Linked DNA regions of Canis lupus familiaris. The protein of the gene in region 1 interacts with the protein of each later gene in a biochemical or structural test. Links are inferred from orthologs where the notes say so. Each region holds a gene or a part of one and is shown in the gene's direction. Other genes may lie near its edges.

What was found.
Region 2: the proteins of PIAS1 (region 1) and SATB1 form a complex in vitro, tested with the Homo sapiens proteins (2 studies listed by BioGRID, with this or other methods). The link is inferred for Canis lupus familiaris from reciprocal best matches to the Homo sapiens genes PIAS1 and SATB1.

What each region holds. Positions count from the first base shown.
Region 1 is NC_049251.1:32,546,814-32,550,944, forward strand, and holds the start of PIAS1 (E3 SUMO-protein ligase PIAS1), read left to right. Parts: upstream 1-1,331; 5' UTR 1,332-1,346; coding exon 1,347-1,403; intron 1,404-2,639; exon of another isoform or gene 2,640-3,783; intron 3,784-4,131. UniProt on the Homo sapiens protein: Functions as an E3-type small ubiquitin-like modifier (SUMO) ligase, stabilizing the interaction between UBE2I and the substrate, and as a SUMO-tethering factor. Catalyzes sumoylation of various proteins, such as CEBPB, MRE11, MTA1, PTK2 and PML.
Region 2 is NC_049244.1:25,106,344-25,110,619, forward strand, and holds the start of SATB1 (DNA-binding protein SATB1), read left to right. Parts: upstream 1-1,476; 5' UTR 1,477-1,635; intron 1,636-1,916; exon of another isoform or gene 1,917-3,044; intron 3,045-4,276. UniProt on the Homo sapiens protein: Crucial silencing factor contributing to the initiation of X inactivation mediated by Xist RNA that occurs during embryogenesis and in lymphoma.

The sequences.
Region 1 (4,131 bases):
TGCATCTTGTCTCAGGCATGTTACATGGCCTTCTAAATGCCCCTGTGTTCATGAGCACTTTTCATTTTGAATGACCTAAATTCCCAGTATACTTCTCTCCTTAGCTTTTACTCCCAGGCTTTAGGTGGTCTATTTAGGTACCAATGGTAACCTTCGTCCCCAGGCAGTTGCAGGTTGTTTATTTACCTTACAGTATTTTCAGGCAATGTCTGCCGCTTTTCTGCTGGTTAAGCAAAAGAGAGATAAGCCTTGCGTTAGTCCTTCAGCTGGCTTCCAGGAAGATTAGAACAGATGAAAACAATGATTTCCAGGGACTAGAGCTCCATCCTAGGAAGGTGGGCTGCGGTGGCCAAGTCATAGATAGAGTAGGGCAGGGATAAATGAAAGTATCATAAAGTTTTCTTGCCATTTTTAAGTTGTCTTATTTTATTTTACTTTATTTTTTGGATTGAACATTTACTTGGTTGACTGTTTTCCAGAATTCTGACAAAGTTGGTCTGACAGTTGCTGGTTATTTTTTAAAGTTTCCATGGAGGTATGGGGGTTTAGAGCTGTCAGTTCTGCCATTTTGATGATATCCCTCTCCTCACAATTTTGATACATTGTATCTTCAATATTTATATACATGTATACTTTTTAGATATTCATATTCATATATACATATATATATGAAAAAATGTGTACTTTTGTATTGAAGTAATTATAGATTCACAGGAGATTGCAAAGAAATGTATAGGGAAGTCACATGCATCCTTTCCCCAGTCTCCCTGGAAGTTAATATTTTGTGGAACTAAAGTGTAATATCAAAACCATGAAATTGACATTGGTAGGAACCACCCTTTCCCCCCATCCCTAATTCCTTGACAACCACTAGTCTATTCTCTATCTCTGTATTTATGTTATTTCATTAATGTTACATAATAGACATCCTTTTGGGATTATTATTTTTTCAATCAGTATAATTTCCATGAAGTTTATCCAAGTTGTTGTGTGTTTTTGTTTTTGTTTTTAAATTGCTAAGTAGTATTCCATAAGATACCTGTATTGCAGTTTGTTTAGCCATTTACCCATTAAAGGAGATTTGGATAGTTTCTGGTTTGGGATTCTTATAAAGCTGCTATGAACATTCTTTTTTTTTTAATTTTTATTTATTTATGATAGTCACAGAGAGAGAGAGCGAGAGAGGCAGAGACATAGGCAGAGGGAGAAGCAGGCTCCATGCACTGGGAGCCCGACGTGGGATTCGATCCCGGGTCTCCAGGATCGCGCCCTGGGCCAAAGACAGGCGCCAAACCGCTGCACCACCCAAGGATCCCTGCTATGAACATTCTTGTACAATTCCCTTCATGGAAAGAAGTTTTTGTTTCTCCGGGATAAATGTCCAAGAGTTGTTGGGTTGTATGGTGAGTACCTTTTCAGTTTTCAAAGAACGGCCAAACTCTTTTCCAAAATGGCTATACCATTCCTACCACAAACTTGTGTGTGATCCCTATCTAAGAAAGCTACTTCTCACTCAAGGTTATAGAGACTTACCCCAAAGAGTTTTAAAGTTTTAACTCATATTTAGGTCTATGATTAATTCGAAGTTAATTTTTACATGTTGGTGGGACAATCATTTTAGGGCCCACAAAAATGTTTTAAATCCTTAAAATCAGAAGAAAAAAATAAGCATACTCTGCTTGGATTGCATTAGTCTTTACCAATACAAATGTAAAATGTAGTTTTAAAAATATATATATTAAAGAAACTCTGAGGTTCTGACACTAAATCTTTCCATACCAATTCTTCTAACACCAACTAAATATCCAATAATTCAGTTTTGACATCAACTCCAGGGATAAGTTGAGATCCCACAGGTTAAGGGCTCAGTTCCACAAGACTGCTCCTACTTCAGATACCAGTTGCCAGTCTCATGGGCCACTTGAACTTCTGACCTACCAAATTTGAGAATTCCTATAATTTCTGCTCAGTTTTGATTATCTATTAGAATGGACTCACAAAACTCAGGAAAACATTTTACTTACATTTACCACTTTATTATTATTATTATCATTATTATTTTAAAATATTTTATTTATTCATTTCAGACAGAGAGAGAACATGAGCAGGGGGAGAGACAGATGGAGAAGGAGAAGAAGGTTCCCCACTGAGCAGGGAGCCCAATACAGGACTCGATCCCAGGACCTTGAGATCATGACCTGAGCCAAAGGCAGATGCTTAATCATCTGAGCTACCCAGGTGCCCCCTACCAGTTTAATATATAGGAAATAACTCAGGAACAGCTAAGTGAAAGAGATTCATAGGGTAATGCATGAAGGGCGGGAATGCAGAGCTTCTCTGCTCTCTCTTGGCGCCCATTTCCTAGTACTTCCATGTATCTACTAACCTCCCTCTAATCACTTTAGTCTTTCTTTCTTTCTTTTTTTTTTTTTTTTGATTTTATTTATTTGAGAGAGAACATGAGCAGGGGGGAGGGGTAGAAGGAGAGGGAGAAGCAGACTCCCCACTGAGCAGGGAGCCTCATGTGAGATTTGATTCTAAGACTCTCAGATCATAACCTGAGCTGAAGGCAGATGCTTAACCGACTGAGCCACCCAGGTGCCCAATGTTTAGTCTTTCCAGTGACCAGCTCCCATCCATTTTTTTTTTTTTTTTTAAGATTTATTTAGTTATTGCAGTTCTGCTGTGAGGTCATTTTAGATAATACAGAATTGACAGGTGGTTTTGGAAACAGAGATTATTAATAATCTTGATAAGTGATCTCGATGAGAGAAGTCAAGGCTGGATCGGAGTGGGCTGAGAAGGGAATGTGGTAGGAGAAGGGAATGAGGAAAGGAGAACAATCACTGTTGGGAGATCTTGAAAAACCTGAGAATTTATGCACTGAAGAGGGAGAAATAGGGCAGTTCTGGAGGAGATTTTGGAGTCAAGGGAGGTTTGTTTTAGATGGGAGGAATTTCAGTATGTTTGTATCCTGATAGAAGTAATCTAATAGGGGAAAAAGTTATGATGCTGGAGGGCGAGGTGATTGTAGGAGTAAAGTTTTTAGGAATGTGGGAGGGAAAGGAATCCAGGTCACTGGTAGAGGGACTGGCATTCATAGGCGCAAGGACACTTCATTCATAGTAACCCAAATGTTACTATGTCTGTAATAATAGTTTTGATGGTGAGAAGATAAGGGAGTTCATGGCTGTTATATCTTTTAATTTTTTTCCATGAGGAATGAAGCAAAAATTGAGAGCAAAGAGTGGAGGTTGGGAAGCTTTCAGTAGCGAGGAAAAGGTGTGAAATAATTCATCACATCTGCTCAAACGTCAAAATATTGGAGAAAGCCCTCCCGGTATCAAGCACATCTCCTTCCAACCGCTTTTTTCTCCCTGGACCTTTTTAGCTCTTTTCCGGTACTCCTCACCATTTGTAATTGTATCTTTTATCGGTGCACTTGTCTGTTCCTCCAGTAGAGAGCTACATACAGGAGGGCGGGGACTCTTTTTTTTTTTTTTTTTTAAATTTCCCCGATGTATTCACAAAGAAACAGGACTGGTACATAATCAGTGAATCATCACTCGTTGAAACAGAGTTAAATGAACGAACGTCTATGAAATTTTGTCTCCGGGTCACCGCTGTCAAAGTGTTTGGGCCACTCACTTTTCCCCTTCCCTGAGCTCTCATTTCTGACTACGTAGGATGCCACGGGGATTGTAACGTCTCCTCTGCCCACCTCACCGCGCCGTCATGAGGAACATCTGAGCTAAGAAATCTGGAAATGCTTCATCCAGCGATCTGCAAACGTAACGGATTATTTTTAGCGCACGCGTGGCCTCACAGGTAGCAGGTGCTGAAAAGGACTCGCTGGCTGCGCCGGGGGGGAGGGGGGAGGCGGAGGAGGGGGGAGGCGAGGGGGCCGTTATGGTTTCTGGGACTGCAGGCATCCAAGCTTTGCAAGAAGGGTTCTGCAGGCCACGGAGAGGCGGGGCTCTGGCCCGCACCCCCCCCGCCCCCCCGCTCCGGCTTTCCCCGGAGGCGCTAGCCCGGCGAGGATGGGGGGCGGGGAGGTCCAGGGGGGAGTAACTGTCAAACCTCCTCGCTTGGCGCCTTTATTTAAATGGTACGTGCGGGTCTCGCTGCTGT
Region 2 (4,276 bases), on another chromosome or scaffold:
ATGGCTGGATGAGAGGGGCAAAGTTGATGGAGTTCTCCTTTTCTCCTCAGCCTGGGGTCCTGAACCTCCAAGTCACTCTGCCGTTGTAGAGGTTTTTGAAGTTTCATTCACCTTCTGGAAAGGCTCCCTTGCCCCTCTTCTCCGCGAGCCCCCCTGTCACTACAGTCTCATCACTTGCCTCCTCCTTTGCTTCCAGCTTCTTGGAGAAACTGGACCTCAGTTTAGGGGTCTTTTCCCTGCGGATTTTAAAGAAGCGGCCGACAGAAGGCTACTGCTTAAACAACCGGGCAGGGGCGCGGGGTTGGGGTCTGCAAGAGCAACCCCGCCTTCTCCTTCCACCACGTGCTCCTCAGTTGGGGTGCAGCACTCCTGGATGGGGTGCAGAGAGGGGCGGGGCCAGGGTGGAGGGCGATGGACCGTGCAGACTGAGAGGGGAGGAGGCCCCCGAAGGAGAGATCGTCTCCACCGAACATGAACGAGAGAAAAAAAAAAAAACTGGCCCACATGCCCCTAGTGGGGAGCGATACACCCCACGCGGGCTGGGTTTGGGGGTGGGGGGTGCGTAGGGCCCGCTCACCTGACTTCCTCCTCCCCTGGCACACACACTGCAATCGCCCGCTTCTCCCCCCCCCCCCCAAAAAAAAGCTCAGCCAAACAACGAACAACAAGAGGAAGCCGCAGGCGGCAAGAGGAGGGGTGCGCGTGGTGGGGGCCCGGGAGAGGTGAGGGGGCAGGGTCGGCGGGCGTCGAGAACCGCGCCGCGCACCCCTCCGCGCACTCCCGGGCGCCCACACTTACCCCCAGCGGCTGAGGGTCCGGTCTTCGGCGCCAATCCCGGCGCGCGCCTCTCGCCCGCCCTCGTCCCTCCGGCCCGCCGCCCCCCACACCCCGGCCGGCGCGCGGGGAGGGAGCCTGGGAGCCGAGCGCGGCGTTGGCGGCGGCGGCGGCGGCGGCGGCGGCGGCGGCGGCTCGGGCTCGGGCTCGGCTCGGCTCGGGCTCCAGCGCTCCGTGCAGCCGGCGGCCGCCGAGGCTCCTCCGCCGCCAGGGGGAGAAGCCGGGGCGGGCGCTGGGGAGGCGGGCCGGGCCCTCGCCGCCCCGCCGGCCAGCCCGCTCGCACCAGCTCGGGAGCGGCGGCGGCGCGGGGTCCGCCGAGCCCCGGGGCGCGGCGCGCGGGGCCGGAGCAGCCGCGGCTGGATGCGCGCCCCGGGGGGCTGCGGGCTCCCGCGGGGGGCGCCCCGGCCGCTCCGGTGCGCCTCCAGACTGCGGGCGCGGCGGCCGCCGAGCCGAGAGCAGCTCCCGCCGGCCCCTTCCCCCCCCCCCCCCCCCCCCCCCCCCCCCCCCCCCCCCCCCCGTTAACATCCCCTCCCTCCCCCTTCCTTCCCTCGGCCCCGCGCGCTCGCCAGCTCGCTCCTCGTCTCGCTCTCCCCTTTAAACGCCCACTTCGGATGGGGAAAGAAGACAACTTGAAGTCAAGTTGCAATTAACTTCCGCGGCAGCCGCAGCTCCGGCGGCGGCGGCACAGGAGGCAGAAGCCGCCGCCTCGGAAGTCCGACGCCGGCGCGCCCGCCCGGGGAGCTGCTCCGGGTCGCGGGCCCGCACTCGACAGCCACCGCCGCCCCCAGCGCCCATGCCTGAGTGAGTGCTGCTCCTTTGCCTCCCTTTCCACCCCCCCCCCCCCCGCGCCCCGTATTCTTGCTCTCGAATCTCTGTCTCTCTGTTTTCGGAATCGATCCAAACTTCTCGGTGGCGCCCACCCCCGGCGCCCCTTGCCGGGCTGCGCGGTGCCCTCCCGCCGACGTCTGGCGGCCGGGGTCCCCCGAGCCCCTTCCCTTCTCGCGTGCGCGGCCGGACCCCGGAGGGGCGGGCGGGGAGAGCGTGGGAGAGCACCCGGGACGGGGGGCTCGGAGATGCCATTCATTCCCTCTCAGGGTGTGGGCACCCTGACACACCTGCCCGACAGACCCAGGCTGGACAAACTCCCTCAGGTCCTCCGTATGACCGCTCTTCGGAGAGAAAAGGGGGAGCCGCAAAGAGCGAAGGAGGCCGACGGGAAAAGGGAGAGGAAGCCTCTCCGTGCGCCCCGGAGCTGGGTTGGCAGAGAGGTGCCCGGCAGAGTAGGCTGGGGGAGCGGGGACGGTCCCCGCCGATCGCAAGTGAGCTCAGCATCCTTCCCCGGTCCTTCTCCTTCCTCCTCCGCCCCCCGCCCGCGCGGCTGCCTGGGAGCGGCGGCCGAGAGGGGCCTAGGAAGTTGGTGGCAACTTCTCCATCCCGGGGACGCTCGGCGCCGGGCGCTCAAGTTGGAGCCGGGATTTTGAAAGCCGCGGCACTCCGCCTTGGAGTCCCCGCCGGAGGTAGTGAGGTGGGCCCGCAGGGGCTCCCGGAGCGACTGCAGGTTTGAAGGAGGGCTGGAAGGCAGGAAGAGGCGCTGCCCTCTGAGCGGGGCTGACACATCGCAGGTGCGGCCTCAGGGTCCGCACCGTGTCTCCCTCCTGCGGTCCCGACCCGAGCGTGGCGGCCTTCTCCGGGCGCTTCCCTGCGGAGGCTCCCGGGGCGGCGGCGCGTGGGTTTGGGCAACCACCGTAAGGGGGACGAAGCAGGCAGGTGGCAGGTGGCAGGTGCGGGGAGCCACACGCGCCCACCGGGGACATGCACCGGGCGTGACTCTTGGGATGACCCCCCAGAAGGAGGAGAGGATCTCAGGGCTTTTGCTGGAGATCTTGGCCCCGACCTCCTCTGGGGCGTTGCAAGTCTCACGTACTAGTGTCAACCACAGGATCGCCTCGTAAAAGTGCCCTGGTTGGCAGCTTTGACCTCTGCGCCCTTCCTCGGCGAACTTTCTCCGCGGCATTCCAGATTTCCAGGCAATTGTTGTAAGACTTGGACTCTACGTGGTTGTATCAGAGACAGGGAAAATTAAAAAAAAAAAAAAAAAAAAAGACGTCCTATTCTCAGGAGAGAACCGTTCTACCCGGACTGGCTGGGGTTCCCTGCTTGCATCCTTGGAGGCCAGGAGACCTGACTTTTCCAAGAGGAACAGAGGAGGGGTAAGAAACAAGTGAAAGGCGACTGGTAGGTGTCAGGTTTTGTCCTCAGCAGTCCCTAAAATCGACTTACTAAGGGAGTAACGCGTGCGATTGAAACTTTATTGAAATTTACACCCTATCTAAAGTGGATTTTTCTGAGGTGTCAGGAATGTAAGATTTATTCTATAGTAAAACGTAGCTGCAAAAGCAAACAACAACAACAACAACAACCGTACTTTAAGGCTGGAAAAAGCCAAGGTTTGAGGTGTTTGCTCTAAAAACCTTTAATCGGCTGTGGGGTACTAATGCTATGATTTAGCAGCAGTCCTTTATTTCTATTGCATATTATTTTAGTGGAACAGTAGTACATTCATATACTGGCTGCTCCAGTCTGCTGGCAAACATTAGCATTCAAGCTTACATTTTTGACAAATGTGCAGACAGGAATAGCATGAATAGGCATCTTAAATATTAACAACCTAAGCATCTGTTGTGAAACAAATTTAATATATTTACTCTGTTTTTCTCACATTGTTAGAAAAGGTTATAATAAGTGCATAATTTCAACTTTAGTTAGCAGAAGTAACTGGCTGTATCTTTCACTACCTCTCCAAGTGTTTAACACAGTCACCAGACATAAGTACTTTAATTAACTTGGTTAGGCACATTGTTAAATACACTTTAGACCTAGTGTATACTATGTAAAACGTAACAGTAGCAAAATACGTATCCTATTTGTGCACATTTTAAGTGACTCTGCATTTTATAAATGTAACAGGCATGTTTATTTTTCATCTCCATTTGACACTTATTACTTCATAGTTTTTCTAATGGAAACAATATTTTAAATGTAGAGCTGTTCAGTCATATGTAATACATAATATGTAAACAGTAGCCATAAAATACAAAGCATTGTTAAATTTAAGTATGGCTACATGTAACAAGATTATACAAGAGAAACAATCACTGTTCAATTTTGTATTCCTTTCTGAATAATGAGTACAAATGATGGGTGAAATAAGAACAGATAAGGATTTCCCTCCTAAAGTACTAACTAGTGCCTTAAAAATCTGTGTGGGGGTGGGGGTGGGGAGAGCAAGAGGGAGAGAAAGGGAAAAAAAGGGATAGAGAAAGAAGACCTAAAGAACTTTCAAAAGTCTGAATAGTTATTTCCAGAATCAATGCATTCCTCATTTTCCCACAAGCTGAAATATGTAATAAATAATAGTTCTTTGTATGTAAAAGTATTCACA